Caenorhabditis elegans: one gene and its partners. The protein of the gene in region 3 purifies or fractionates together with the protein of the main gene of each other region. This does not show direct contact. Each region holds a gene or a part of one and is shown on either strand. Other genes may lie near its edges. The genes, in order: pfn-1, upp-1 and ZK1307.1.

What was found.
Region 1: the proteins of ZK1307.1 (region 3) and pfn-1 fractionate together in Caenorhabditis elegans (co-fractionation; one large-scale study listed by BioGRID). This does not show direct contact.
Region 2: the proteins of ZK1307.1 (region 3) and upp-1 fractionate together in Caenorhabditis elegans (co-fractionation; one large-scale study listed by BioGRID). This does not show direct contact.

The regions. Positions count from the first base shown.
Region 1 is NC_003279.8:12,916,231-12,926,786, reverse strand, and holds pfn-1 (Profilin-1), read right to left. Parts: upstream 4,784-10,556; 5' UTR 4,748-4,783; coding exon 4,622-4,747; intron 3,778-4,621; coding exon 3,505-3,777; 3' UTR 3,239-3,504; downstream 1-3,238. Other genes in the region: fkb-2 (peptidylprolyl isomerase), read right to left, coding at 7,681-7,809, 7,863-8,060; fkb-8 (peptidylprolyl isomerase), read right to left, coding at 8,812-8,898, 8,951-9,153, 9,207-9,345, 9,414-9,613, 10,029-10,272. UniProt on the Caenorhabditis elegans protein: Binds to actin and affects the structure of the cytoskeleton. At high concentrations, profilin prevents the polymerization of actin, whereas it enhances it at low concentrations. By binding to PIP2, it inhibits the formation of IP3 and DG.
Region 2 is NC_003281.10:7,636,563-7,647,118, reverse strand, and holds upp-1 (Uridine and thymidine phosphorylase), read left to right. Parts: upstream 1-4,017; 5' UTR 4,018-4,027; coding exon 4,028-4,165; intron 4,166-4,887; exon of another isoform or gene 4,888-4,971; intron 4,972-5,048; coding exon 5,049-5,192; intron 5,193-5,239; coding exon 5,240-5,755; intron 5,756-5,802; coding exon 5,803-5,892; 3' UTR 5,893-6,085; downstream 6,086-10,556. Other genes in the region: fbn-1 (EGF-like domain-containing protein), read right to left, coding at 6,563-6,817, 7,255-7,791, 7,843-7,899, 7,950-8,140, 8,209-8,505, 8,558-8,843, 8,892-9,319, 9,623-9,763 and 1 more. UniProt on the Caenorhabditis elegans protein: Catalyzes the reversible phosphorylytic cleavage of uridine and thymidine to uracil and ribose-phosphate or thymine and deoxyribose-1-phosphate.
Region 3 is NC_003280.10:9,650,478-9,661,022, forward strand, and holds ZK1307.1 (Amidinotransferase), read right to left. Parts: upstream 5,104-10,545; 5' UTR 5,055-5,103; coding exon 5,046-5,054; intron 4,942-5,045; coding exon 4,649-4,941; intron 4,592-4,648; coding exon 4,516-4,591; intron 4,463-4,515; coding exon 4,226-4,462; intron 4,179-4,225; coding exon 3,954-4,178; 3' UTR 3,868-3,953; downstream 1-3,867. Other genes in the region: ZK1307.9 (Coiled-coil domain-containing protein 130 homolog), read left to right, coding at 19-410; ZK1307.4 (motile sperm domain-containing protein), read right to left, coding at 554-700, 1,010-1,102, 1,153-1,260; ZK1307.3 (motile sperm domain-containing protein), read right to left, coding at 1,902-2,048, 2,094-2,186, 2,383-2,490; ZK1307.2 (uncharacterized protein), read right to left, coding at 2,688-2,752, 3,029-3,276, 3,324-3,394; gstk-1 (Glutathione S-transferase kappa 1), read left to right, coding at 6,272-6,340, 6,523-6,984, 7,036-7,185; ZK1320.2 (uncharacterized protein), read right to left, coding at 7,472-7,534, 7,580-7,657, 7,741-7,871, 7,920-8,021, 8,127-8,215, 8,358-8,521; ZK1320.3 (uncharacterized protein), read right to left, coding at 8,808-8,870, 8,967-9,044, 9,116-9,246, 9,292-9,393, 9,493-9,581, 9,775-9,938; cyp-13A10 (Putative cytochrome P450 CYP13A10), read right to left, coding at 10,438-10,545.

The DNA of each region.
Region 1 (10,556 bases), on a different chromosome or scaffold from region 3:
ATCTTTCATTTTTTCAGTATAATCTCCGCTTCAACCTCTTCCAAAACACAAAAATGTCCGGATGGAATGCCTACATCGACACAATGACTGCCGCTGCTCCATCGATCAAACGGTGTGCAATCGTCGGAGCCGTGTGATGTGCGGAAAGGTCCTGGAAATATTATTTGCCAGGAAATGTACTTAAAATGAACCAACTGCAGTATTACTCACACACGAAATTTGGCAATTTTTGCGTAAAACACGGTCTCGACACGACAAGAATGTTTTGATTTCGAAGAGTTGTGCGCCTTTAAATAGTACTGTAATTTCAAATTCTTCATGGTGCATTGATGTTATTTTTCTCAGAACACCTATTATACAAAAAAAAATCGATGAAAGCAACGAAAATTTAAAATTACAGTACACTTTAAAGGCGCACGTTTTACTCGTTTTCAACGAAATTTGTCGTGTCGAGACCGGGCTACCGTATTTTCGCCAAAAAAAATCACGTCGAGTCTGGGTAATACAATTTTTGGCCAAATGGCGCAGTGAAGAAATTCACGACTGAGAATATACACACCGGGGTTCGAGTCCGCACTGTGGTCGAAATATTTTTGTTGCTTTTTTTACATGTTTATTTTTTGGATAATTCAAGGGTGCGGAACTCAAAAATCAGTGTATTAAAGCCGAGAAAAGTCTGAAAAATCTGAATTTCAGAACTTTATGAAAATCATAAAAGTACTTAATTCGACCTATTATCTAATTTTTCCAATTTTCAGGCATCAAATCCTGGAGCAAATCGGCGGTCTCTGAGCTTGCACTGAGGCTGACAATGTCTTCGAGGTACGGATCGGCTGAAAAATTCAATTTTTTAGAAAAAAAAACTCGATATAAATTAAAAGATCTGCCAAGTTGCACAGTTTTCGAGCTCTCAGCACAAAATTTCAAATTTTCCAAAAAAAAATTGCGATTTGGATTTTTTTTGCTGAAATATCCAGATTTTGAAAATTTTGTAATTCTCAAAAAAATTCCGGTTTTTTTCAAATTCTAAAAACACTGATAACTCCAAAATACTCCAAAATTTTTTTTTGGAAAATTTGAAATTTTGTGCTGAGAGCTCGAAAACTGTGCAACTTGGCAGATCTTTTAATTTATATCGAGTTTTTTTTTCTAAAAAATTGAATTTTTCAGCCGATCCGTACCTCGAAGACATTGTCAGCCTCAGTGCAAGCTCAGAGACCGCCGATTTGCTCCAGGATTTGATGCCTGAAAATTGGAAAAATTAGATAATAGGTCGAATTAAGTACTTTTATGATTTTCATAAAGTTCTGAAATTCAGATTTTTCAGACTTTTCTCGGCTTTAATACACTGATTTTTGAGTTCCGCACCCTTGAATTATCCAAAAAATAAACATGTAAAAAAAGCAACAAAAATATTTCGACCACAGTGCGGACTCGAACCCCGGTGTGTATATTCTCAGTCGTGAATTTCTTCACTGCGCCATTTGGCCAAAAATTGTATTACCCAGACTCGACGTGATTTTTTTTGGCGAAAATACGGTAGCCCGGTCTCGACACGACAAATTTCGTTGAAAACGAGTAAAACGTGCGCCTTTAAAGTGTACTGTAATTTTAAATTTTCGTTGCTTTCATCGATTTTTTTTTGTATAATAGGTGTTCTGAGAAAAATAACATCAATGCACCATGAAGAATTTGAAATTACAGTACTATTTAAAGGCGCACAACTCTTCGAAATCAAAACATTCTTGTCGTGTCGAGACCGTGTTTTACGCAAAAATTGCCAAATTTCGTGTGTGAGTAATACTGCAGTTGGTTCATTTTAAGTACATTTCCTGGCAAATAATATTTCCAGGACCTTTCCGCACATCACACGGCTCCGACGATTGCACACCGTTTGATCGATGGAGCAGCGGCAGTCATTGTGTCGATGTAGGCATTCCATCCGGACATTTTTGTGTTTTGGAAGAGGTTGAAGCGGAGATTATACTGAAAAAATGAAAGATTTCAGATGGCTGGAAGGGTAATGAGAAATTATAATATGAAGAAAGAGCATAAAATCACTCAAAACCAGGCATTTATAGCTTGAAAATTACGATTTTTGATGCAAAATCTACAGAAATCGGTTGATTATTTGATTAATTCTATTGAAAATTGCATAAATATTGATTTGAAACGGTTTTTGAAGTCATTTTCAGACTTTTCGATAGGGAAAGCATTTTCCAATTGTTTATATTACGGTAGCACTAAGTTCTGAAAATGCGTATCGCACAACATATTTGACGCGCAAAATATCTCGAAGCGAAAACTACAGTAACTCGTTGAATGACTACTGTAGCCCTTTGTGTCGATTTACGGGTTTGGTTATCGAAATTAATCACTTTTCGAATTGTGTCAGCGATATTCGTAAATATTATTTTCCGTTTTTGGGAGTTTCCTTATGAAAAGGAAACCAGCATTGAAAAATAATCCAATACGAAAATAGAGCCCGTAAATCGACATACAGTAGTCATTTAAAGAATTACTGTAGTTTTCGTTACGACATATCTTGTGCGCCAAATACGTAATATTTTAATTATGAATTTAAAAAAGTTGAATTATCATACTGGAATGAGCAGTTTTTTCGGTTTTTGATTTTTCTAAAAATGAAATTTTTCGGAAAATCGAAAATTTTCCCTAAAAACATTGAAAAATCGAAAAACGGCACCCTTTTCTGAGACGAAAATTTATGATTTTCCGATATATAGAAAAATTCCATATTTTCGAAAAGCTTAAACTTTCGGCCATTTTTTCTTACGTACTCTTATGGGTTTTCTCATAAAAAATAATACGAAGACGCCGAAAAATAAAAATTTCCGCCATATCTCACTCCCACGGGTCTCGCCACGCTGGCAACAGGTTACTGTAAACCGACAGGAGTTACAGTAACCGTGTTGTCTGCCTAGCGAGACCCATTCGCGTAAGATATTGTGGAAAATTTCATTTGACAAATGTGATTACTTTTTAATTGTTTTTCCCTCATTTTCTAGACATCTTTTTCCGAGTTTTTTTTCTCTAAACGATTTTTGCAAACGATGATAAAAATCTGTAAAATGATTCTGACCAAAAAACCGCGCCGCACAATTGCAGTGTGGGCGTGGTTTCGAAAAAAACACGCGATAATTGCTCCGAGCACAAAACTCTTCTCTCACTCTCTTTCTCCGTCGATGGGAGATGAAAATGAAATAATCGAGAAGGCATTGAATTGGCAATGAATTTACTAGAAAACAAAACGGGGGAATACAATACATTATGATAAAGCTGAAAGTGAAATAAAAACTGTTTCTGTGTTTGCTCTGGGAATGGGAGTTTTGAGGGAAAGATTACGCGGAAGAAAACCGAATTTCATCGTTGTACTCGTAGAAATCAAGGTTTGGGAGAAGGGAGAAGGGGGAAGTTTGCAAAAAAAAAATAGAGAAAAGCGGGAATAAATACGAATCGAACAACAATCGATAGAGAGAGAAGTATTTAGTATCCAGCATTGTTGAGATAGGTTTGCATACTCTCGACAGCCTTGCGAACTTGTGCAGCAACTTCATTTGGTCCCTCGTAGACAGCAATCAAGACTGCAGACTTGGTCTTCACAGCGAAGAATCCAGTGTTCTCCTTTTTTCCGAAGATGAGCGATTCTTCGGTACGTGGAACGACGTAATGAACTCCTTCGATATCGGCTCCTTTTGCTGGAACTTGAGTGACGTCATTGAATAGGGCAACGAAGGTTTTGAGCTCTTCTTCGGATGCCTGGAAATTGGAAAAAATTAGAGAAGTTTTTGGACAGGAAATATTTCTTGTTAAAAAATTTGCGCTTTGAAATTTCCAAAAATTCGAAATTTTAAATCCAGTAACCCTAAAGTTAGCCTTTTTCCCCAATTTTCGCATTTTTAGGCCTCAAAACACTGAAATTTCCAAAAAAATCGGCTTATTCTTGGCCGAGATACTGGAAAATCACAAATTTCAGTCTGTGAATTTACATTTTGCAGGAAAAAATCTTCGAATTTTAATTTTTTTTTTAACGCTTTTTAACTCTAAATTTTCATGAAATTGAAAAATCTGAAAAAAAAAAGTTTAGAAAATTCCAGAGTAGGCAGGCTTCAGGCGGCTGAAATACAAGTAGGCTCTAATGTAGGTATCAGGCAGGCCACCTCGAAGGTAGTCAGGCAGGTAACTTGCCTGACCTTCAAGGTAGCCTAAGCCTGTCTGCTGCCTACTTGGGTTTCGAAGAAGTATAAACTATATGAGAAACAGGGGCTGGTAGGCAGGCACGGCCGCCTGAAGCCTGCCTAATCTGGAATTTTTTAATTTTGTTCGAAAAATAATGAAAATTTTGCAATTTTTGAGTGGATTTGCTAATTATTCCTGTAAAATGTAAATTCAGCGGCTAAAAATTTCGATTTTCAATTCAAAAAGTGAATAATTTCGCGAGATTTTCAGTTTTTTGGGTCAAAATGCGAAAATTCCAACAAAAATCGACCCCGCTAGCTCTTTTCAATCTCAAAAATGGGTCAATTTAAGGATTTTTCAATCGTTTCCAGTTTTAATCGATTTTTTCTCGAGCTTCTTCGATGATTTTCGTCCATTTCCATACCTTGAACACATTGTCAGCCTCAGTACGAGCCCAGACAGATCCATCAGCGGCTCCGACGATTGCACACCGTTTGATTGATGGAGCAGCGGCAGTCATTGTGTCGATGTAGGCATTCCATCCGGACATTTTTGTGTTTTGGAGGAGGTTGAAGCGGAGATTATACTGAAAAAATAAACATAAATTATGATTGAGATGGTTGGAGGGGTAATGAGAAATGATAATATGAAGAAAGAGCACAAATTAGGAGAAAAAGAGCATAAAATCGCTTGAAAATTACGGTTTTTGTAAACAATCGATTATTTTTTGATTTACTGCGCAAAAAATGGAATTTTAATGCCGAAATACCCAAAAATTGATATTTCCGCAGATTTTTTGCTTATCTGTGGTGTAAGTTGGTGGCGAAGAACTTGCGAATGGATAAAATGACAAAAACCAACAAAATCTCACTAAATTCACAATTTTCTCGCCAATGTAGTGCAAAAATTGAGCTTCTTTCATGAATTTCTTGGAAATTTTCTGTGAATTGAGCCGATTTAAACCAAAATTGGCATTTTACCTAGAGTTGACCAATTTTCGATGATTTTCAGACCATTTTCAGGCCAAAAAGGCGGAATTGAAGCTCGAAAACACCGAAAACTACCAAAAACTACGAAAATAGTAAATATTTCGAGTTTCAGATGTAGAAAACTTGGAAAAATTCAGCTTTTGGAAGATCTCGCCTCGAGAAATTAGGACCAACTTAAGGGAGAATTCTTTTTAAAAAAGCAACGTTTTGAGGCGAATTTTCAACTACTAGAGGATTTGAACTATCTAGAGCAATCTGAGAATTTAATTTCACAAGAAAAATGGCATAAAATCGCCAGATGACCCAAAATTGAGAGAAATTAAAGAAAACTTCCAATTTCAAATTCCGAAAGATGAAAATTGCTACGAAAACTAGAGGACATCTTTGACCACCCGGAACACTCCATCTAATTGGCTGGGCAAATGGAGAAGCAGTGAATGACAGTGAGGAAAAGCAATAGAGAGAAGAAGAGAAAGAGAATGTTTGCATGCCATCTGGTGCTCTCCTTCTTCCCCTTTTCAACCCGAACAACGAGCTTGTGCTCCTGCTCCTGCCTGCTTGCTCCGCTGGTCAGTTATTCACCCATAAAGGACGAAAAGAGAGACAGAGACCGCCCATCAAATTGAATGTGTGTGTACTACTAAAAGAGGGTGAAATAACCCGCCTCAATCCATACTAATGTCAAATGCAGTTGCAATTTATATTGAACACACAGACCCAGAGACACAACCAAAGCCAATGATGAATCATTTTGAAGAGAACACAGCGAAGACGACGGAGGAGAAAGAGAACCAAAAGGCGATAGAAGACGAGTTGCGAAACAATTCAATTTGAACAAAGCTTTCTAGCTTTGAAAATTGCGAAATTGAGCGCTGAAAATGGATCTTAATGCCGAGAATGACCAGTGGATTGCGAAATTGGAATGGTGAGTCACATGGAACAGCAGGTCGCCAAAAATCGTCGAGGAAGCTTCAAGTTGTTATAATATTCGCAGTTTTTTCTGCCAAGGAGATCTGAAAGTCATTTAGAAGAAAAAAAATACATCAAAATGCTCAAAAATCATAAAAATATTCGAAATTTTGATGATCGAAGCCCCAAAAAAGTCACGAAATAGTCAAAAGAGCCGCGAAAAACAGAAATTTCGTAGCATTGGCCGGATTTTTCTATAAATATTGCAGAAAACCCGAAGATTTTGTCAGTAAATCGAACGAATAAACTCCAGAAAGCGGAAAATGGGGAAAATGGGGAAAATTTTACATTTTTCTACAAAACACTCACTGTGAGCTGAAATTTCATCAAAAAAAATAGGAAAATTGAGAGTTTTCTAGTCGAAATCTTACGCTATGTGATAATTTTTATAGCTTTTTTATTTTTCTCGATTCACGACGTTATCGGATGCCGAAAATTGATAAAAAACTCTTTCTGAATCACCTATTTCCGCTCCTTCCTTACAGTTTTAAAGCAAGAATGGAACGAACTGAACTTTCCGGAAGAAAATAGGGTGGAAATCAGGAAAATTAGCGAATATTTGCTAGAGAATGAGGAAAATATATTCTGGCAATAACCGAGACAAAACGCGGAAAAAACTGCTGGAAATATCAATTTTGGGAGAAAACGCGAGAATTTTGTGAAAAACCTGCGGAAAATCGGTAAAAACGTCACAAAACCGGCCAAAAAAGTGGAAAAATGAAGAAATTGTCATCCTCTTCGACCAGTTCTCGAAAAACACGACGAAAATTGGCGGGCAGATCAAAAAATTGAGGTCAAAAATCTTTTTTCGCGATCAGAAAATTTTGCGCGTCAAATGGAATGCATCGTACGCAACTCTGCGTACTTAGGCGACTACCGTACTCTTAGCTAAATTCTGCTCAATTTTCGCTGGCTTTTGCCAATTTCTAGTGGAAAAACGTCGGAAAAACTGAAAAATCAATTTTGGAGACAAAAAAGAGGAGATTTTTCAAGAAAAGATGTGTAAAAATGGCGAATTTCAATGATTTTTAAACCATCCCACTGGGCGGAGGAATCTGAAATGATAAAAATAACTATGAATCATCGAAGGGGAGGCGTCTTCCGCCTCTCGTCTTGTGTATTTCTAATGAACAGGAGGCCTGAATTGTTTCGAAAATGGAGAACAGATGGTCTTCTGAGAAAGACGGGCGCTACGCAAGGATCGCCCGCGCACACAATTACGAATGAATTGTGAGGCAAAAAAGTGAAAAAGAAAAGAATAAAAGAGTAAAATTGGCAAGGTAATCGGAGATTTCGACTTCAAGGACACACAAACGCCACGTCAACACGCACAGAGAAAAACCATTTTGTTTTTAAAGATTAAATAATTTATGCTACTTAGATAGGAAGAAATATTTAGTTTACAGAGAAAATTAAGGGGGGAAAAAGAAAGAAAACTTGGAATCATTAAAAAAAATTGATATCATTTATGGAGAGGTTGCACACGGCAGCTGCTAAAACGGAGCTGCAAACGGAGACGGGCAGCTTAGTTGACTCCGAGAAGCTCGACCTCGAAGACGAGAGTTGCGTTGGCTGGGATTTGTGGTGGAACTCCGCGTGGTCCATAGCCAAGATCGGCAGAGATGGTGAGCTTCGACTTCTCACCAACTGACATCTGAAAGAAAAGTTGATTTTTTATATTGAAATTGAGCTAATCGATGGACAAACCTGGGCGACTCCTTGGTCCCATCCCTTGATGACCTCTCCCTTTCCAATCTTGAACTTGAATGGAGTTCCGCGGTCGCGAGAAGAGTCGATCTTCTTTCCGTTCTCAAGGGTGAGCACGTAGTGGCAGGTGACGGTCTGACCGTTCTTTGGCTTGGTGACGTTGTCGCCCTCGACGAGAATCTGTCTGTCGACGCCCATTCTTGCTAAAAGAGGAAATATTAAGATTTATAACTCAGAAATAAAGAGAAAATGGCAAAGAAAAGGAAGAAATTGTTCAAGGGCGAGTTCAAGTTGTTTTTAGGCCAAAATAACAATTATTTTTCAAAAATCGATAATTCTGCCTCGAAAATAAGGTTGCTTTTCTGATTTTCAGTTGATTTACTGATTTTCTTGATAGAAAACTCCAGAAGAATGGCCTAAAACAGGAAAAAACCGGCAAAGTAAACAAAAATCTGATGACCAGAGTTTTAGCCGATTTTAGGCCAAAATAACACTGAATTTTCGAAGAACAACTATTTGTCATTGAAAAGTGGGCGTCTGACATGATTTTTTCGATAAGAAACTCTGAAAAATGACCAAAAATCGGTGAAAAACAAGCAAAAATGGGTTGTTTACGAGGCGAGAGTAAAATCGAACAAGGCGCGACACTGTTCGTGGCGAGATATCGCTGCCGCGAAATTGCATGCGCCTTTAAGGTAAGTGTCTGCGTCTCTTCAGAGAAATTTGTTCTTTCTCGGAAATCGTTGAAAATGAGTTCTCTCGATAGAAATAAATAAAAAAACAAGGAAATTAATAAAATTTCAAAGCATTTTAATTAAAAATTGAAATTTATGGCAATCGTGTCAACAACAAGTGAACAAAAATTAATACCATAGTTTTGATTTTAAACATTTTTCTCCTGGCTACGGTAGTTCATAAAGTACGCAGCATGTATCCAATTCGTTTTATTTTACGCTGGGATTCCTGCTGGCAATTTGCCTTTTTCAAAGCCAAAAGCCGGAGCAATCGTGAGCTTCGACTTCTCTTTGACTGACATCTGAAAGAAAATTGAATTTTTATATTGAAATTGAGCTAATCGATGTACAAACCTGGGCGACTCCTTGGTCCCATCCCTTGATGACCTCTCCCTTTCCAATCTTGAACTTGAATGGAGTTTCGCGGTCGCGAGAAGAGTCGATCTTCGTTCCGTCCACAAGGATGAGCACGTAGTGGCAGGTGACGGTCTGACCGTTCTTTGACTTGGTGACGTTGTCGCCCTGGACGAGAATCTGTCTATCGACGCCAATTTTTGCTGAAAAAGAGGGAATATTAAGATTTATAACTCAAAAATAAGGAGAAATCTACCATATGAGTCCCATGAGCAATTGAACAGCCTAACTTTGCAAGTTAGGGAAGCGTTTCGAGGAATCAGTCCTCTGAACCCAGCGCGGCCGTAACCATATTTGCCACTCACGTGAAATGTTGCGATTTCACCGACTTTCATCTGAAAGAACATTGAATTTTTATTTATAAAAATTGAGTTCTGCAAAAAATCAATAAAAATGTACATACCTTAGGGATTCCGATATCTAAACCAGGAATGACTTCACCGAATCCAATTTTAAAGATAATCGGATTTTGGCTCTCGTAATTGGACCAAGATGTGTAGCAATCCGCAAGCTTAATTTCGATGTAGCACTGAACAAGTTGCCCATTCTCTGGCATTACACCATTTCCAGCTTTGTCAACTTGATGATGAATTCCAGTTTTACCTAAAAATAAATAGAAGATTTCTGATTGAAAAATAAGAAAAGTTTTTGTAATTTATATATCTTCTACACTCCAAATAACAAAAAACTGCGTGGCGTGTACTGCAGAAAACCTAATATTTAGTTAGGCCCCGCATTTTTCTCGTCCACTCACGGAGAAAAGGCAAAAATCGGGATTCCAACCAATATCAGGCCGCCGACATCTCACGGAGACAACTTGCCACGCCCACAGCGAGTTAAACGCAGCGGCGCGCGGTACCCGTGAGATGTCGGCGGCCTGATATTGGTTGGGTTCCGATTTTTGCCTTTTCTCCGTGAGTGGACGAGAAAAAGGCGGGGCCTAAATATTATGTTTTCTGCAGTACGTGCCACGCAGTTTTTCATTTTGAGTGTACATTTCACACAAAATGCGAATTACCTGGTTTTTCGTGCTCACATGAAGATTTTTTGTGGACTACGTGATCCCTCAAGTGTTTTTTCATTCCTTCGTGATTGAATGTTCTCATCCTGCATAGAAGACATCCGAATTCCAGTTCACGAAATGGGATCCGTTTGTATTCGTACTCATTGTACGTCGACACAATGAATTGTCCGACGTCTGGGTTACTCCAAGAAGGTAAAACAGAGTCATCAGTGCTTGCTACTCCATTTTGGTCCTTCATTGTTCTACATCTGATGTTGCTTGATATTGTTTGAAGCTGTTCTCCTTCTTATTATTTCGCGATGTTATCGGATACTAAAATTTATGTTTTTTCAACTTGATTCGAATCAACCACTCCATTGCAGTTAAGGAGCAAAGCGAATCATTTCAGAGAAATGAGAAAACTTGAATTTTTTTTCGTGATTCAGAAAAAGAGCAGATTCTTGGTTACAAATTTCCTCTCTGACAATTTTCAAGAAAAATTGAAAAAAAATGCTGAAAATTCTGGGTTTTGTGGAAAGTGAG
Region 2 (10,556 bases), on a different chromosome or scaffold from region 3:
ACGCCAGTGTCATCACCTTGAAAGATGTAAGTAGAAGGATGGCTTGCGTGCCTGCCTACGGTGCATCTTGTTGTCCTACATTTTGTCATTTTCCAGTTCGAGCACAAGCTAATCGTCGCCCAACTTCCCCAGATGGAAAACGAAAGTTTCGTGGAAGACTTTTGGTACATGATCTACCAGGAACAGATACATCTTGTCTACTTGATGGTCCCGGATGACAAGCTGAAGAACACCACGACTTCTTTGTTCAACGACGAGAATGGTGGCTATCAGTACACTGGAAAGATGTTTATCAACAATCGGCGTGCCGACGTTTCTGGAGATCCAAAGGAATATACGATTGAAGTATTGCCCGAAGGAAATTCAGATTCTGTCATATGCCAGGTATGGTCTCAAGAACATAGCATGAACAGGAAAAATCAAATTTAGGTTCATCATCATGCTCCATGGAAGCATCTGCAGCAACCACCAAAAACTCTTCCGATCATCAAAATGATTCACCAATTTCTTTCGGAGAAGCAGGTACAAAACGCTGGAGTCTGCGTGGTCAGCTTGTTCGGATGCGGCCGTGCGTGCAGCTTCATTGGTGCTCTCTACGCAATCAACCAGCTCAATAATGGAATTGAGCCCAATGTAACTAAAAACCTAGTTGAATGCTTTACAATAATTTTATTTCAGATTTGCGAGATCATGAAGAATATCAAACAGCAGCGTCCAGGAGGAGTCGAATCTTTTGCTCAATACGCTAGTATCTATGCAATTGTGTTTGACTACATTTCGGTAAGTTACTATTTTGGAGATAAACTATAACTATTTCAATTTTCAGCGCAAACGTGGCGGAAAGAAGGCTCCCGTAAACAAGGACATCAAGCGATTCATTAATGAGCTCACCGAGATCTCCCCAGCATGCTCCCCGACAAAAGTGATGCCTTTGAGCACTTAGCTATATCATGCTGAAGACTGTATACAATAAATAAATCCTTGGATTTTTCTTGTTGTGGTTTAAAATGTTGACTTTGATTAAGAGAAGCGTGCCTGCCTGCCGCCTATCTCGGCATTTGCTTGAAAAACTTCAAAATGCAATTTCGATTTTTTGAGAGTTGTACCTAAAGGCGCGCTGATCTATTCAAATAGGTCTCGCAGCGAGACGATTTTGGATATAGTAAGCAAATATTTCAGTTTCAGTGTTCTCTATTTTTGTTAAGGTAGTTCAGTTCTTGTTATTGAACAGAATGATCTGAATGTTTAAATAATCCTTTCTAATGGAACGATGGAACAGCCCAGAAGAAATCCCTGGAATACAAATGCCACAGTCTTCTGGTCTTCCTAATGTTAAGATGAAATATGTTTTTGTTATTGTTCACATCCATCATGAATCGAACAATGTATGAAACATCATTTGAGTGTCGATTTGGGTCAGCGGTGGAATTTTTTGATAAATAATTTAAAAATTGAAGTGGATTTTTCCAATTTTTATGCTTAAAAATTCCAGATCAATTTAGGGTACTCTGAAAACTGGGGTTGTTTGAAGTTTTGCCGCACGTGGGAATTGGCATTCCGACATCCATAAGAAGCTTTTCTTTTTTATATTTATTCAAGAATCTGGTCGAAAAACTTTCGAAGTTTGAAGTTTCAAAACTATCAGATTCTTACGATTTTCGTAACTTTCCTCTCAAAGTCTCATTCAAACACCACATTTGTTTTATATTTCCTTCACGGGACGATGCCTTCCCCGCACACCACGGTAATTAATAACTTTCCGGCATGTTATTCTAAGATCTGGCAAAATGATATGCGAGGTATTCAAGGGGTGAAGTGTGACCGAATAAAAGATAGTGTGTCCGATAAACCGTGGGACTAAATGATAAATGTTTTTTTTTTCTTTCCGTCAATGCCAAAAGGTTTCGGCAAAATAAAAAGAAACATACAGATCCCTTCATATTTTCAATTCGCCCTGATTTGATCTTCTCACCTTGAAACTTTCTGGTCTATAATCTATGGGTAAGTCATGACAAAATTGGCGACTAAGTTCTATCAGTAGAGTTGCATTCGAATGTAATTATTTCATTTTCCGAATTCTCTATTTAAAATCAAGACGTCGCAAAATGATGTGCACCTCTAAGAAATACAGTAACCCATGTCCTGTTTGTTTGCAATTTCTTCAATTTTTTTCCAGAAGGACATTTAGAAGAAAACAACTAGTTTTCAGCAAAAAAGGATATAAAATTAATTTTCAAAAACTTTATTTTTAGCATTTTGATGAGATTGCAAATTTAAAATTGAATCTTTTGAAATTATCAACGTTTCTTTTTGAATTCTAACAATAATATGTTGGCAGTCAAAATTTGAAAATTTGAGAACGATGCTCAATAAATTTTTGTTCAGGTTTCAAAAAACTGGAAGAAGCCAGCTTTGAAAGAAATGACGAGTTGGAAACTACAGTACCCATAAAAACGAAAAATCTTTCGCATTTGAAACTCATGCCCTTTTTCGGCAACTCGGCAACCGATTTTTGTGACGTTGTGAGACTACTGTAGACCGAATTTCCAAATATTCAGTGTCACTTAAAAATCATGATAACAATTGATAAGATCACCCCTCATAACTGTGTCCCGTTGACTTTATCATTTCCGTCTTTTTTCGTCATCTTCTTGCGCCACGTGCTGTCTCTTTCGCAGAATCATTGTTATAATCTCGCCATCTTTCATGATTGAAATTTATTGTCAATGTGTTCAGGAACTAGCCTTTTATTTACGATGACAAATAGATGAAACACTGGGGACACTAAAAGCGTAGTTTTGAACAATCAACACCATAAAACTATAAATGAACAAAGTTGGCAGCAAGAATTATCAGCATTATCAGGAGAAAGAACTTTTTGTGCAGATAAGAAACAATTGAACGCGGAGATCAGAATGACATGATTATTATTATCTGTATTCTTACCGCAAACTTTTAAAATAATAATTGAAACAAAAAAGATTCTCGCAAAATTGTAATATTCAAAGTTCGCGCGTTTTTATCTGTCTGCATGTCGACGTGTCGGTGTTTGCACACTTACGCTACATCTTACGACAGGTGTTTTCAAACTCTCGCGAATTTATTTTTTTCCTTCGAAATCATCGAATTTCTTCCATTTAAGTCTAAAAACTTCATATTTTCAGTAAGATAATTCATTACTATTAATATCCAAAGTTTATATCATGTGGTGCTTGAACAAACTGCTGGTGCGAAAAGTTTAAATCAAATAAAAGCAAATCCTTCGTTGAAAACAATCGGAGATTTTCGATTTTCCACGTGGAAACTGTTCTAAACTGCGTCACCATCGTTTTGTTTGTCTTTATTGTCTCAGAAAGTTCAGTTCCTGTTGACTTTTTTACTCAAATTTCAAAACTTTGTCCTTTTACTCAATTTTTCTGACTTGTCGAAGCTTCTTCACAGAAACTGTTTGTTACATCACCACGCTTTCTTTTTTCCGCAAAATAATTTTTCTTTCCATCTATTTCCAATCGTTCCGCCCATTTTCTCGACGAAAACAAAAAAAAAGATAGATAAAAAGGGAGGAGTTTCGAGGTTACTTGCTTTACGGAATAAAAGTTTCATTTTCTCAATATTTTCATTTGGAAATTTGTGAGTTCTTTTTCGTCTTTATATATTAGAGTGATTTTGCTTATTTCAGATTGAAAAATAATTGTTTCACTTTTCTTTTAAATTTCAATTTTTCTCTGAGGTGTACTAAAAGTCTTGGTAGCAAAGGTAGAATCTCGTTTTTCTCGTTTTTATTATTTATCACGTAGCCTGGAGCTCACGAGTTGTCCAAATTGGATTTGAGTCCTTTTTAAGCATCTCTAACCGTCTACTCTCTCTGCTCTCTCCTCGTCTCTTTTGGAGTGCCCTTTTCTTATTCTATGTGATACTGACGACATTTAGCACGCGTATTCTGGTTCCTGTTTTTGTTTTGCTCTCTTTTATTCATGAAGTTTTTTTTTTCATTCCTATAAGTTGGAATTTTTTCAGATCCATCAAGATGAACGGACTTGTCAAGAACGGAAATGTGGAGAAGCCAAACAAGTACTTCGATATCAAGGATAAAAGAGATTTTCTTTATCACTTTGGTTTTGGAGTCGACACTCTCGATATTCCAGCAGTTTTTGGAGATACCAAGGTTGGTTCTACAAAGTCTAGAAAAAATTGAATAAGTGAAAAAGTTCCCTCATTAGTTTTAATATTAGTTCACTCCTAATCTTCGAGAAATGTTCCACTTTAAAAATCGTTTACTATATATAAAGCGCGTGTCCTTCTGTCCCTATGTAGTTTGATCTCTGATCAGAGCAACGAAATTTTGGGAAACCTTATGCTAAGTGCGCAGCAGGCATCGATCGAGGTCCGCGATAGACACCGTATATCTAATGTGTTTTCTCAAAGAAGTCGGGGGCCGCGCCGTAGGTGCGGTCCACGGCTGGTGATTCATAATGTTCCAAAAAATATGAGAAATAATCCATTTATGTCTTCACTTCCCAGGTAGAATGATGCAACAGTTTTCTCTATTCATACATATCGATCAACAGAACAAACACAAAAATATATTCATTCATTTGGCGCTTTTATTTCTTCAATTTTTTGACCCGTTAGTTGTCATGCGAGTTTTCTTCTTTTTGAATTATAAATTTGCATAGCCACGCGCCTCCTGGTGTCCAATTTCAATAGAGGGTAAATATAATTTGAATCGATACCAACACAAAACGAATCTAGAATTTTCAAGAGCTACATATTCCTCACTGATAAGTTTATCTCTCTCCTAGGGCGGGTAATACTTCTAGCCAATTGTTACACAAGCGCCCTTCGTGTCATAGGAATGTCTATGTCTTTACTGCACGTGTCAAACACGCTCCGTTGTGGTCTAGTGGTTAGGATTTATGGCTCTCACTCATAAGGCCGGGGTTCGATTCCCCGCAACGGAAGATTTTTTTTGTTTTTATAGGTGTTGTGTGCCGAAATTGAATCATTTTAGTGAATAATAATTTGCACTATCATTAAGTTAATTTCAGTTCGTCTGCACTGGAGGATCTCCAGGACGTTTCAAGTTGTATGCTGAATGGTTTGCCAAAGAGGCCAATATTCCATGCTCTGAAAATCTCTCACGGTCTGACCGTTTCGTGATTTACAAAACTGGACCAGTTTGCTGGATCAACGTATGTTATTTTGAGGCGACAATTATTTGACAAAAATAAATTTACAGCATGGAATGGGAACCCCATCTTTGAGCATCATGCTCGTCGAATCTTTCAAGTTGATGCACCATGCTGGTGTTAAGAACCCAACTTTCATTCGTCTTGGAACATCTGGAGGAGTCGGTGTTCCACCAGGAACTGTTGTTGTGTCAACTGAAGCCATGAATGCTGAGCTTGGAGATACCTATGTGCAAATCATCGCAGGAAAAAGAATTGAGCGGCCTACTCAACTCGATGCCGCACTCCGCGAGGCTCTTTGCGAAGTCGGAAAAGAGAAAAGCATTCCAGTTGAAACTGGAAAAACCATGTGCGCCGACGATTTCTATGAGGGACAGATGCGTCTTGATGGATACTTTTGCGATTACGAAGAAGAAGACAAGTATGCTTTCTTGCGGAAGCTAAATGCTCTTGGAGTACGAAATATTGAGATGGAGTCAACTTGCTTCGCCAGCTTCACGTGTCGCGCTGGATTCCAGTCTGCTATTGTCTGCGTCACTCTTTTGAATCGTATGGATGGAGATCAGGTAATATTTTGATTCTTATTGACAGTCTTCAATTATAACATTTATAGGTTCAAATCGCCAAAGAGCAATATATTGAATACGAGGAACGTCCATTCCGCCTTGTAACTGCCTACATTCGCAAGCAGACCGGGATCTAATAATCTTAAAATCAAGATTCTCAACTAATTGCTTTCCATGTTTCCTTACCACACGAATAGTATTCATATATTTTCTCTAATGCACCCCTCTCTAACTAACCCTTCTCTTCTAGAATAATGTGATTCTGTTTGGTTTCATTTCAGTCGAAATATGAAAGAAAGTTTATGTAAATAAATAAAGGTTTTGATTTTCTTTCTTTAAAAAAATTATCTTGATAATTTATGGAAGACATGTTGAAGAACTTTACAGAAAAAAAATCACAGAAAAAAACACGCAAAAACAAGGGTTTTTTGGAAAGGCACAAATTAAAAGAAAATTGAGAAAAATTGGAAAACGAGGCACACGTAATGGTAGAGAAAAGCTGTAGAGATGTGATAAATACGATAATTAAATAAAAAGTTTAGAAAATTAGAAATTATCAAATAAAATTTTAAAACAAAAGAGAAAATTCTGTTTGGTTTCGATCAAAACCCTGAGCAATTTGTTAGTGTTGTCGGAGATTTCAGAGAAGTTTTGGGGGATTTAAAGAATAAAAAAGTAGGTAAATAAAATAACAAAAATATTGGAATGTAACAAGTATGTAGCAAGTGATTGAAGATTTCTTATCAGTGCAGTGATAAGAAAATACGAAAATATGAATTACCAAAACAATATTTTGAAACAATCAATCTAGAATCTCAGTTCTGATTCCAGATCAATTGTTTTTGGTTTCTTAGAGCACAAGTACAGTAATATCGCTGAGCAAACTGCAAATGAGCCCAATGCGATGAGTAGTGGAGCCATTTTCACACAAATCGATTTTGATTCCTTTGACGTGGCATCCACATGGGATGATGTGACGTCATCGTCATCAGATGTATTCATATCATGAGAATCATGGACATTGATGATAGATGAAACTGCTAGGGATTCAACTCCGGACATCTGGAAAATGTGTTTTTAGAAGAAATGTTTGAAGTGACAATGAGATCTAGTAAGACTGCCGCAAAAATGTATATCTGCTTACACTACGACCTACGCCTGCCTCGTGCCTGCATTAGTATCTGTTTTGCCAAATCACGCGTATTTATTGCCAGGATGCAAAGTTTTTAGGTTTTGTAGTACTCGGTCCGATTTAAGCGTCCGATTTTTCAAAGTGCAAAATAGTGTGCGCCTTTAGGAGTACTGTAAGTTCTAGCTTTTATCGCTCTTTCTCGCTTTTTGAACAGAATATTTTTGATGCAAAAAGCGCCAAAATTCCGCATCTGGGTAACAGTTGATCTTTAAGCATTCTAATTGGAAAACATGTGTACGATCACTAATGATCGAATCTAGGCATTAGAATAACCAATGCAAATATTTTTGGCTTTACTTTAACATACCAAAACCATTTCCTGACGAATCTCGTCGTTCACAACAGGTGACGTCGTCTGATGCCTTCTAAATCTTGCTGATGAAATACATGTTGGTGTAGAACATTGCCCAACGCAAGGGTTACAGTCACATTGGAATCTGATCATTGAACTGTCCGGCCATTTGAATGTTCTGAATACTGCCTGCACTTTTGATGACGTGGCAGCAGACCATTGTGGGAACAATGACTCATCAATAGCACATCCCATGTCATCTGTCAATGTATATCTCTCTCCACTCTCAATATTGATTGCGAAACAGTTTCTTGGCAAAATGCCAAAGTTTTCGGATGGCGTAACTTCCAAAGCAAGCTTCAAAGTGTCGCCGACCATCGCTGAACTGATTGATGAATGTTGATCATTTGAAACTGATAATCTGCAGATTGGAGCAAGTGTAGAATTCTTTTCTGTGAGTGTGGAGGTTGTAGCAAGTTCAGAAACATTCACATGAGATTCAACAGCACGGGAACCAATTGGGTATTGGCATCGGAGGTCGTAGGAGTCGGCCTGAAATGTTTTTCATTTTTACAAATACACAATTGAATAAATAAAAGTTACCTTATTCGTCAAGAACATTGCATGTTTTTGTACAACCACTGTTGACGCCATAGTATGCTGGAAAATGAATATTGAAAAATGCTTTCAGTAAGATCAAAATAAATTACATTATCGAGAAGTTGTACATCACAATGTTGGAAAACGACTTTGAAAACATATGGCTTGCGAGAGTTCAACAATGAGCTGAACGATTTCGAGCAATATGGATTCTCAGCTTGTCCTTTCACAAATATCTTCCCTTCAAAGTCAGCTGTCTCGTTACCAAGTACCAATGTCATTCCATCAGCTTCACAGTATACTGAAAATTTGATAATTAACCAACTGCGATATTAATTTAAAGAAGTTCGAGTTGGTATCAATACTGACCCGAAAGTTTTCCTTGATTGACATGTGGAACACAAGTGATTCCATCTCCAACGTGCCCATCTGGACATGTGCAAACATGGGATCCAAATGTATTTCTACATGTAGCAACTCGGTCACATTTATGAGACTTCTCCGCACATTCATCAATGTCTGCACACGTCTCCGAGCCGGAAAGTGTCGAGTTCCGACGGAATCCTGATTTACAAATACATTCTCCAGAGATGCAGAGTTGAGTGGAAGAGTCGCATGGTGTGACACACGAGCTCACATCAGAAAGGTCTTGTTGGTTAGCTGGTTCTGAAATTAAAAGGTTAATGCGTTTTGGAATTATTTGGAAAAACCAACAAACCCTTTGAAACAAGTGAAGAACATTTATAGAATGGGTCTCCCTTAAATCCATGACGACAGATACAACTTCCAGTTGGAAGACAAATAGCATTCTTCGCACACACTGATTTGTCAGTTCTACATGATTTCTGTGGGAAACATGAAACTCCGTTTCCAGAGAAGCCAGAAGAACACTGACATTGACGGGATTCCGAATTACATACTGCGTTCGGGTGACAGATTCCAGTGAAGTGGACGCAGTCTAATGGATCAGGTACACAGCAGAGACCGTTGCCAAAGTAGCCTGGCTGAAAATATTTATGTTTTCTATCAATCTACTTCAAAAGAAAACTTACATTACACTTGCAGGTAGTTCCACCAACACAATGAGCATTTGCATCACATTGGGAACAGTTGCTTGCTCTTTCGTGAATACTAACACACTTGACTCCATCTCCAGTAAATCCTGGAAGACATTGGCATCTTCTATTCTGGCAGACAGCTTCTGGCGAGCACAAGTTATCACGAAGCACACAATCCTGTGGATGCGGTGAGCACACGTATCCATCTCCAATGTATCCAGCATCACATTCACAGGATCTTGTTGAATTGTCGCATTTTGCCTTGTCAGCACAGAGAGACGGAAGAGAAATACAATCAGCTGTGCTCTTTTTAGAGCAAGCTGTTGTACCGTCTCCAATGAAACCATCTCGGCAAATACAAACCCCAGTAGATTGCTCGCAAGTTGCCAATGAGTGACATGTGACTGTGGAGCAAAGAGATGCTGAAAATGTAAGGGTAAAGACGTTTTTTTGAATAAAAAATAATTGGGATATTTTTTTAACTTGGAGATGTTCTTCAATGATATCAGTTGATTTGAAGAATAAAAATCCATTTCAAAATCAAATAAATGTTTTTTTCATGCTTTAAACCATAAATAATTATTGGATGCATCATGCCTTCAAACTCATTTTTTAAATTTAATATTTCCAAATTAAAAACATTAAATCAAACATAACTTTAAAAAAGTTAAAAACATAAACCAATTCTTAAAAAAAACTTCATGCCTCCCAATTCCAAAACTTACGAGCTTCTGTAGTTGTTGTGGAGGTTACTTGCTCTTCTTCTTGATTCGTCTCCTCTCCATAACCTCCATTACTTGGTGGAGGTGGAGCTGGAGTCGTGAACATTTCTGCTGGTGGTTGGATGCTTGGTGGTCCTCGTTTGCCTAGAGGTTGGTTAGATACTCAAAAACTTGTCATGCTCTCAAATTAAATTCATGCAAAATCACTTTATACTTTTAACTCTAAAATTTCATTCAACATACCTGATGTGGTTGCTGGTTTTGCAGTTGTGGTGGTGGTAGGTGGTGGCTGTGGAGTGGTCAAAGATTCTGAAGGCAAAATGATTGGCGATGTGGAATTTGAAGGGACAGAAGACGCGGTGATGTTTTGACGACGATTCCCGTGAGATGGCACAGTGACAGATACAATGAGATCATCGGGAGTACCGGTGATAAGACGGACACGTGGAGTTGATGATGACGTGACAGATGAAAGGATGGGCTCTTCAGATGGGATAGAAGAAGCAGTGACAACATTTGGAGAAACTGTTGTGGATAGTGGGATTTCAGGTTCTGATGGTTCAGATGACACGGTGCTTATTTCACGGTGGGACTCAGAAGACATAGTAATTTCTGCTGGTGCTCTAGACGACACTGTGACGGCTTCAGAAGTGATACTTTCTGGGAATAGGGACGATAGTTTCACAGATGCTTCTGAAGACGTTGGTGAAGATGTTGAGCTGTTTTCTTCGAGAGTTGTTGACGACGCTTCAGAAGACACTGTGACTGCTGGTGCATTAGTTTCTGGTTCGGAGGAGGTGGATGACATGGTGCTTGATTCTAAGGAACCAGATTGTGAAGTGGATGTTTCCACATTTTCTGTAGATTTTCGTGATGTGGATGAAACATTTGAAGGCTCTGAAGAACTGGATGCGGTGACAGTACTAATATACGACAC
Region 3 (10,545 bases):
AAAACTATTAAATTACAGCTCACGATGATCACCTCGAATCTTCCCGCGATCGAATCGAATCACGTAGGATCTTCAGACGACCGGAAGAAACTGACACACCATCCACGTCTTCTGGATCTTCTGGAGGCGCTGTTCCATCCGCTTCCGAACGATTGAAGGCTACAATGAAAGCAGAGAGAGATAAACGAATCAATGCCTCATTTTCAACTGCTGGAACATCATCCGCGACTCAGAAACTTTTAGGAATCAAGAGAAAATCAGCTTCGTCTCTGGGTGTTCAAATTAAAAAAGCCGCTCCGGAAAACTCAAGTCTCCAAGATGAAGAACCTGCAGTGGAGAAGCCAAACATTTCAAACCCAATCTCACTTATTGCTCAAGAATACGGAAACTCGTCAGACGATTCAGATTAATTATTTTATCGAACGTTTAGCTGTTTTTTCTCTGTGAGAATTATCTTACTAATAATAATAAACACCCAGAACAAAAATTCCAATCTTCATTTTTACATACAATGCTCAGTTTAAAAATATCTTGTTTTTCTTTGGTGTATTATTCATTCGGCAGCAGACAACTTGATGACTGTCTCTCCAGAAAGCTCTCCTGGTGGCACTCCATTTGCGAACAATGGTTTTGGATCCGTGTTCTCATCAACTACCATACAGTACTGGATGATCAACTTGTCGGCTTGTGGCTTTCCAGGCTGAAATTTCAATGAAAATTATTACATAGAAGTCCAAGAATGAGAATTTCCGCCATATCTTCCGCGCATGGGTCTCACCATGCTGACAAAGGGCTACTGTAACTCGTGTCATTTTATGGGTCGCGATTGTATCATACGTTGATTAAAAAAATTTGGAAGCACTATTTCATTCGATATGAAAGTTATAATGCAATAGTGGAGCAAAACGTTGCGAAGTACAGTAACTTATTGTCAGCGTGGTGAGACCCAAACTTTCATCTTTAAACGGCTTCGTAATAGATTGTGTTCCTAGATTTAGAAAATTTATACCTTTCTGGTGATGACCAATTCCTTGACATCGCAAACTTTCAAGATTCCATAGATTAAGTTGACGCTGTAGTTTGAGTTGTTTGAGGATTTTACCTGACATGGTATTTTCAATTGACCAGTTTTCCGGCAAATAAAGAACCAACCTTATAAGCCATATGGCGATCGGTATGATTGATCATCTTGTGCTTCGAAACTCCTCCATTGGCCTGGATTGGGCACACTGGTGGATCCAACGAAATTTCGACTCCCATTGCGGCTGCACTTGACTTGGTTTTAAATCAGAACAAATTCTAATCGATTGATTCGGACGTTCTGTTTTACACGTGTTAAGATTTTATCAGCTGATGTTTTTTTTTGAGAATATGGAAGGTCGCGTGGAAATTTGAAAAGTTGTGAAAACGAAAATTAAAGTGATTTTATTAATTTGTGAAGTAATGGCATTGAGGAACAAATAATAAAATTTTCAGAAAGTTAAGTAATATCTTAACCAAACTCGTTCTCGAGATAGTGTCTATCCGTTGGACCGACCCAATTTTTTTTTCAGAAACAGAAGAGTTTCTGCTTCTTATGTATTATAAAAACTACCTATCTATGTATACGACAACTATGTTAAATTTCATCTTACGATGGTCACCTTGAATCTTCTCGCGATCGAATAGAATCACGTAGGAAATTCAGGCGACCGGAAGAACCTGCAGTGGAGAAGCCAAAAAATTCAAGGCCAATCTCATTTTTTGATTAAGAATATTGAAGCTTTTCAGATTCAGATTACAATTCCCTCTGAGAATCAACACTAATGAAAAGAAAAATAAACCCAGAACAACAATTCCAATCTTCATTTTTACATACAATGCTCAGTTTAAAAATATCTTGTTTTTCTTTGGTGTCATATTCATTCGGCAGCAGACAACTTGATGACTGTCTCTCCAGAAAGCTCTCCTGGTGGCACTCCATTTGCGAACAATGGTTTTGGATCCGCGTTCTCATCTTCCACCATACAGTACTGGATGATCAACTTGTCGGCTTGTGGCTTTCCAGGCTGAAATGTTAATGAATTAGGTTCTTATGTTCAGAAATTCGATACCTTTCTGGTGATGACCAACTCCTTGACATCGCAAACTTTCAAGATTCCGTAGATCAAGTTGACGCTGTAGTTTGAGTTGTTCGAGGATTTGACCTGAAATAGTCTACTGTAAAATTGGCTATCATGGCTGTGCGGCAACCGGAAACTCTCGGTTGACGAAGCTTCGGCCCAAGTTGCCAAAGTTTTGAAAAAAAACTTATTGCCAGTTGCCAAAGTTTTGAAAAAAAACTTATTGCCAGTTGACGTACACCCCTGCTGTCTATATCCTCACGATAAGTAAAATACCAACCTTAAAGGCCAAAATTTTGTCGCAATGATTGATCATCTTGTGCTTCGAGACTCCTCCATTGGCCTGGATCGGGCAAACTGGTGGATCCAACGAAATTTCGACTCCCATTGCGGCTGCACTTGACTTGGTTCTGAACTGATTCAAGTTCTAATCGACTGATTCGAAATTTCGGGTTTACACGTGCCAAGATTTTATCAACTGATGTTTTTTGAGAAGGTCGCGTAGGAATTTTAGAAATTTTTCAAACAAAAAAATTGAATTAATTTTATTAATTTGAGAAAAAAACAGAAGTAAAAACAACAAATTTAACGTTTTCCAAACCAATTTTTCGAATGATCCGCGTATCCCCAGACTCCATCGTAATATGGTCCTGAAAATTCGAATATTTAGGTCTTGAGGTTTTTAAAAATAATCCAGATGAACAATGAGCTCGATAATTTATTTCGACTTTACAATTTAAGGCTTTCTGAAATTTTCAATACGCGCGCAAATGAGGAGATTTGGGTCTTGAGAAGAGTGAAAGTTTGCAGCTACTGTACCACAAATATATTATATATTAGCAGTGATGTTCAATACTTTTCTTGTAGAAATCGGGCAGACATATGAAGAAAAAAAAACATATTTTCAATATATTGTAAGTACTCACCGTATCTTTCCTGCTGTAAAGTTTCGAAATCCGTAGGCGCTGGCTGTCCGTATTTGTTCTTGTGGAATGAAATTTCGTGATAATAATTACGATAAGAAGCAAATGAATAAAGTGGAGGAAGTCCTGAATTATAGAACTTGTCTCTATAAAACCCATAACTATCAAATCCTCCATTTGTAGGTCCTATTCCGAATGGTCCATAGCCATAGTTGTTTGTGAAATCGTTCCGTTTAACTCGAACATTTTGACTGAAATTTCTTGAAATATAAAAGAAAAAACTAAACTAAACAATAACCTTTCAAAAACCTCTGCATCAGAATATCCAATAAGAAACAAAATTCCAGATAATAAAGTAATCTTCTTCATTTGTTGAAATACAGAATATAATATTTTTTCTAGAAATGAATACCACAACAAAATACCCAAAAGAGAGATGAGAAGAAAAGTGATCAGTTGTAACATTACAATTCTAGAATTTCTCAGTGCCACCCTTACCCTCCTACCGGTTCTAGTATCTTTCTCATGTGATTTTTGTGGTTATATTTTCCAATGAAGATCATACAAATTGAAAGCTGAAAAGGTTCAAAACTTATCTGAATTTAAAATTAACTTGAAATTTAACTCGGGAATCCGTACTTTAACGGTAAAGCAGTGAAGTGAGAGAAAAATCAGAATTTTTTTTTTTGAAAAATTTTACGTACAACACTGATTTCTCGATAGCTTCACAATGCTATATTATAATAGCATCTTTTTTACTTGACTCTTTTTGGCTTAAGCTCAACCAAACTCTCAATTTTTTAGACGGCTTTTTGAAAGCCAACACTCCAATTTGAAATATTCCAGTAAACGCTTTATTTATTCAAAACTTCATCAAAGATTCACTATAAAAATTCAAATATCCAGCCATCAATTCATCCTATCACAATTAGAGCAATCTGAGCACCAAGCACTGACAAGCTCCACCACTTTTCATAAATTCACTCATATCAACTTCTTCGACACGTTTTCCACGAGCCGACAGATAATCCTTGGTTGCTTGAGAGACACCGATTGGGGAGATTACGGTATCACGAATAGTGATGGCGTTGCACACGAAAGCATTTGCTTCAGCTTCGGAGACAGCAATCGAGTTTGGAAGACGACGGAGGATCTGCACACAAAAAGTTTTTTAACTAGGGATTTCAAAAAAAAACTCACCTCCTTATTGGTTGCCTCAGAGAATGCAGGTGGGTAGTAGAGGGCGCTGGTCTCATCAACTGGAGCAAAACAAGTGTCCAAGTGATAAAAGTTTGGAAGAATCATATCACAGAGAACAATATCAAAAGTCCCGAGTGCCTTGATTTTCTCGTAGACAGACTTTGAACTACGCTCTCCATAACCAGCCCAAAGAGTTTTACGGTCAGAAAATACAGCATCTCCTCCGCCTTCGAAGATCTGAAATTTTATGTTTCAAAATGGAGAACAAAAATTCTCTGGCAAATTTATACCTCTTCATATCCTTCCCCAATAGTTTTGATATTGTTCTTCTTGAACCATTCCAAGTAGAGTGGTTGCTCACCGCTTCTGTAAAAACATAAAATGTTTCACACACAATTTCCTTTATTCTTTTTTCAAACTCACCTTTCCTTATGCCTGAATCTGGACAAGTAAACCTGATCATCATAGACCAATCCACTATTACAAACGAAAACTTGATCTGGAAGACCCTCTGTTTGCTCCATTGTCAAAACTGGAACACCAGCGTTTTCGATTGCAGATTTCAAAGAATTCCATTGCTGATGAGCTTTTTGCTTGTCAACAACTCCTCCCATCCATGGATTGATTGTGTATTCGACTGTGAAATGCTTTGGTGGAACCATCAACACTCTCTTCAGAATATGGGCAGCAGATTTTGCAGCAGACATTGTTTCAGACTGAAAATTCAATTGTTTAATTAGTTTTCAAAATCATTTTAACTCAAAAAGTAAAACCAGTGTTTCTAATTTCCAAACTGACAATTAAATAGGTCCAAACTCACATCAGACATTATTATATAGCAGGTTCAATATCAAATAACTATTGTTAATAGTCTACTCGAAATTGAAATGATGCACCGAGCTAACTAGTATCTTATCAGTTTTTATATTGATACGATTTGTTATCAAATATTGGTATAAAGGTGTTAGCAGCTAGTCTGCAAAAAGTTCAAACTTTCAAAAATTATAACACCTGACAAAAAATTTAAATTTTCAAACAATTTTTAGTCGTAACTTTAGAAATTTAACAAATATTCAAGGAGGAAGTTGAATGTTAAACTAGATAGTTCAAAAAGTAGAACCAAAAACGCGCGAGAAAATAAAAATAAAAGAATAACAATGTACACCCGTGGTCATTTTATTATCCTCCCTCCTTCTTCCCCGAACCCTTGTAAATCTTTCAATATGTCTTGATGGCCTTATTACGTCACAATACATATTGTGATTGCAGATCTTGATTGATAAAAATTCCAAATGAATTATGATCACAGGAAAAATGTTTTCTCGGTGTCAGGTGCCAGGTGTCAGGTGCAGGTACTCAAAAGACACCGGCAAATGAATTCCAAAGGTTTGTGCTTTGAAAAGCTCCAAAGATCCTTGCTATGCAAAATATGTCAATGGAAAAAGAAAATAAACATTTTTAAAAGAAAGCTTTTATGAAAATTCCATGTAAAAAACGCGAATTGGGACTTTCCAGGTATCCAGAAAAGCTTTAATTTTTGAAAGGTTAAGAAATTGATATACGCGTTTTCCAAATATCCAAGGTATTCTTGTAGTTTCCCCAATGCATCATTCAAACCAAGAGAGCTAGACGCAGAGAAACCAGATTGTCTGTCATCTCTGCGTATCTTTTTCCCGATACAAGCTACAGTGTAGTCTCACGGTGTGGAACAAGTCACCACGTTGCTTTACTTCTCTAGAACTATTATTTTCCCACGTTATTTTTGCATCTATCTTCATTTCCCACTTTCTTATCACTGCAAACCGAACATAGATCACAGTTCGTTGTCTCGAAAACTTATAAAACCACACGGTTGTTTGTGCAATTTTTATTTAATTTTTTAAACGGGTTCTCAAAGAAAAATTGCAGAAAATATAACTTTGATCTACTTTATCGTTCCCGCGAATATTTTTCAAAACATCTTTTCCAAATCTACACTCAACTTACGGATTTTTGTCTTGCAGATTTCCGTTCGCCGTGCCCAAAAATTCGAATTAATTTTGGAAAATGCCAAAACTTCCACGTATCGACTTTTATTTTGACGTGATTTCTCCGTACAGTTATATTGCTTTTGAGGTTGGTTTTTTTTATATACGATATTACATAAAAAACTGTGGTTGTACGCATGTGTCGATGGTTCTCTTATCCTAGGAAGTCAGGAATTTTTTTTGAACAGTGTTACGGTACAATAATATTTTTTAGTTTTAAAATTCGTAAATTTATTATAGTTATAGAAATTATGCAATGATAAATTGCAGGTCTTCCAAAAACTGGAAACCCAATGGAAAGGAGTAACAATCCGTTACATTCCATTTTTCCTCGGAGCCGTCATGAAAGAATCAGGAAATCGTCCTCCAGCAATGCTCCCAGCTCGATCAATTATGATGATGACTGATTTGAAGCGAACTGCAAAGTTCTGGGATATTCCATTGACTCCACCACCATTGTTCATGGAATGGATCAAAAAGTACCGTACTACTGGAGCAATGAAGGTTTTGTTGGTTTTGCAGGAGCAGGATAAGGAGCTGATGCTCCGAGCAGCTCGGGAAATGTGGGTCAGATTGTGGTCTCGAAGTGAGAAGATTTTTGAGGATCAAGACTTTGTGGAAGTATTGAAGGCAGTTGGTGTTAAGAATCCGGAGCAAATTGTGGAAAAGAGCAAGGATGAGAAATATATAAAGATTTTGATGGAGAATACGAATAAGGGAGTTGATTTGATGGTAAGTTATTCATCTTTGAATTAAAAAAAATTGGCAATTTTACTTTTTCAGGCATATGGTGCTCCATGGATCAATGTGCACACAGAAGATGGATCGGAGCATTCATTCTTTGGATCAGACCGTTTCCATTTGATTGCCGACCTTCTTCAACAGCCACAACCGCTTCCAGACCGACTTTTTGGCCAGAAATCAAAACTTTAAATATTTGTTGTAAGATAAGATGCGCTAAATATATGAATAAATTGGGTAAATATTTTTAATTAACTCTCTCTGAAACAGTCTGACAATCGACATAATCATAGATTCAAAAACTACAAAGAAAAATTCCAAAAAGATTTGAATCTAAAATCTTTTAGTTGGCTGCACTCTAGGTTACTTTTCAATTTTACGAACTGTAAAATATTCCAGAAAATTAATTATATGTTCAAAGTTTTATTCAAATTACATCTGCACTGTTAGTTGTGGGAAAAACCCAAAAAATCACAAATCAGTTGGCCTTGATCAATCCGGCGAACACTTGATACAAACCCCAGGTTCCATCCGGCATTTGCTGAAAGTAGAAAAGCTTTATCTACTTTAGATAATAAAAGTGTACCTTTTGGGCAAACTTCTCGCAGTAGTTCATATCTTGCTTGACATTGTCGGTTCCAATGACGCTTGGTGGAACTCCCATCTTAAATGGATAGGGTTAAAGTTCGGATTTGAATTTTTGGATTTTATCAGCAGTGAGCCAATTCTGATTCTGATATGACTTACATCATAGATGACATAAGCCCATCCTGGCTTATTGATATAGAAGTTGAGAGCCTCTGACATGGTTTCGATGTCATTGTAAGTCTTAACAACCGTATCGATTGTTGCAGAAACAGTGTCGTCGATGCAGAAATCTGAAAACAAATGAATTTCAGGTTTACTCTAGAAAAAGAGGAGCTCACTGAAATCATCATCATCGCGCTTGGTTGGAGTGCCGCTGATCAGCTCAGCATGAACCTTGACTCCAGATTTACGGGTGTAGTGACGGCGAACATTGTAGGTTGCTGAAATATATGAAAATGAGTTAGATAAAGTTCCACATATTTTATTTCAATTATATTTTTCAAAACTAGGAAGTGGCTTTCAATATTTTTTGAACGCTAACTTACGAACTGCAGTTGACTGATTGGCAAATTGGAAACGTGCAGCAACCTTGACGGATTTGCGGTCAGCACAGTGAGTGATGCACCAATTTGGTCTGAAAAGTAGAAATGGATTTTTTCATCTGGATTTGAATAATTAAATTTAAAATTATTGATTAAAAGGATAAAACAATTCTAGATCAGACACTCTGACTTTACATGAATTCTTAATTTAATCTTGAAAAGGAATATACTAACCTCACAAAATCCAATCCAGAGGATCGGAAATCTTGAATTGGAACTGCATCCTGTGTGGATTCATCTCCAACTGGAGTATAATTGCACAAATTTCCTCCTGGAGCAGAAGTTTGTTGAGCAAAAATTGCTGGAACTGCTAAGCAGGCAAGGAGAAGAAGCTTCATTTTCCTAAAAACTCTCGATAAAAATGAAAAGGAAACTATACTCAAAAACGTTTCAAAGCGAGTAGCAAATGGTCAAATTATCGGAAGTTATCAGTTAAAAACTGAAATTTTCCACATCACCGGCCTCCTCTTTTGCCAGTTGAATGTGTTGATAACGGAAAATAAAGAGTGGAAAATTAAATATTGAAAAATCACTAATGATTTCATTTTGAGAATAATAAGAATCAAATATTCAATGTAAAACTTTAAATAGTTAAATCGTTTATTAAAAATTAAAAGAAAAAAATCAATTAGCCTTGATAAGTCCTGCGAATACTTGATATGTCATGTAGGTTCCATCCGGCATTTGCTGAAAAATTTGTAAAATTTGGTGAGGTCTAATTTCTAATTCGGATACTTGCAGGTCTGGTTTTGTTGCATTTTACAACATTTTCTGAGTACTTACCTTGTTAGAAGACTTCTCACAGTAGTTCATATCGTGTTTGACATTGTCAGTCTCAATGATGCTTGGTGGTACTCCCATCTGAATATATGTATTCAAGTAGAAATAGTAGACACCTATATATTTTCCAAAAAAAAACTTGTGTAACTTACATCGTAAATAATATACGCCCATCCTGGCTTGTTGATATAGAAGTTGAGGGCTTCTGACATGGTTTCGATGTCATTGTAGGTGTTGACAATAGTATCAATCTGGGCCGACACAGCATCGTCCATACAGAAGTCTGAAATTTTGACATGTATTTATACCATAAGATGAAATCACTTACTAAAAGGATCATCGTCACGCTTGGTCGGGTTTCCGCTGATCAGCTCAGCATGAACCTTCATTCCTGAATAACGGGTGAAAGTACGGCGAACTTTGTAGGTTGCTGAAAATTCCCATTAAATTCTAGGATGTTTACTGGTATTTTCATAATGTTCCAAATGTTTTTACATGTACTTTAGTGTACTGATCTATGTTAACTTACGGACTGCAGTTGACTGATTGGCAAATTGGAAGCGAACAGCAGCTTTGACAGATTTGCGGTCAGCACAGTGGGTGATGCACCAATTTGGTCTGAAACTTTTTAAATTAAGATATTCGGCTATTTATGTGGTTCAAAAATTGGTAATCGTTTAGTATCCCACTGTTGCCAAAGTATTTTTCTGGGTCTAACTAGTAAGACCATCAAGAGTTGGCTCAACATAACTTGGCCGCGGCCTAAACCAATCATTACTAAAGCTGTTCCAATTTTTGAACATAAACTGACCTAACGAAATCTAATCCAGACGTTCTGAAGTCCTGAATAGGAACAGCCTTTTGGTTTGATTCATCTCCTTGTGGAGGATAAGTACACAAATTTCCACCTGGAGCAGACGTCTGTTGAGCTAAGATTGCAGGAACTGCCAAACAAGCAATAAGAAGAAACTTCATTCTCCTGAAAATATAAATATATGCTTCAAAAAATTTAAGTAGCAAATGGTCAAATTAGTATGAATTGTGGAGAGAGTTATCAGTCTAAAACTGACGTTTTTTAAATTATGAGCGTTTTCTTTTGACATTCAGTTATAGTGATAAGAATATTAAATAGAAAAATGGGAAAGCACTAATGATATCACTGGAAAAGTTAAAGGACAAGTTGTTTACAGATAAGTTTATGAGCATTGATTCCGGGGAGCCAGCAGCTTAACAAAACTGATTTCTTGATCCAATATTGCTCACAATCAGATGATTCAAAAGTTTATGCGAGTAAAATTAGTAGAAATACCAAATTAGTCTGATATGTTTTTCAAAATTGTTCTTCAATTAAAGGATAGACGAGTTTCTCAGAAAATAGGCTGAACATTTTCAGACTCTAAAAAGCAAGAAAGTTTTATTTGAAAGCTTTTTCGATGACTAAAATACAAACAAAGAGGGTCGAAAATTATTGAGTTCATATCCTTTGCTTCAAATGCATCCAAACAGTTTCCGGTTGAGTCGTGGCTCTTCCAACTAATTTCAATGGGATTTCTGTCTTGGTGCCAACTTCAAATGTATATTT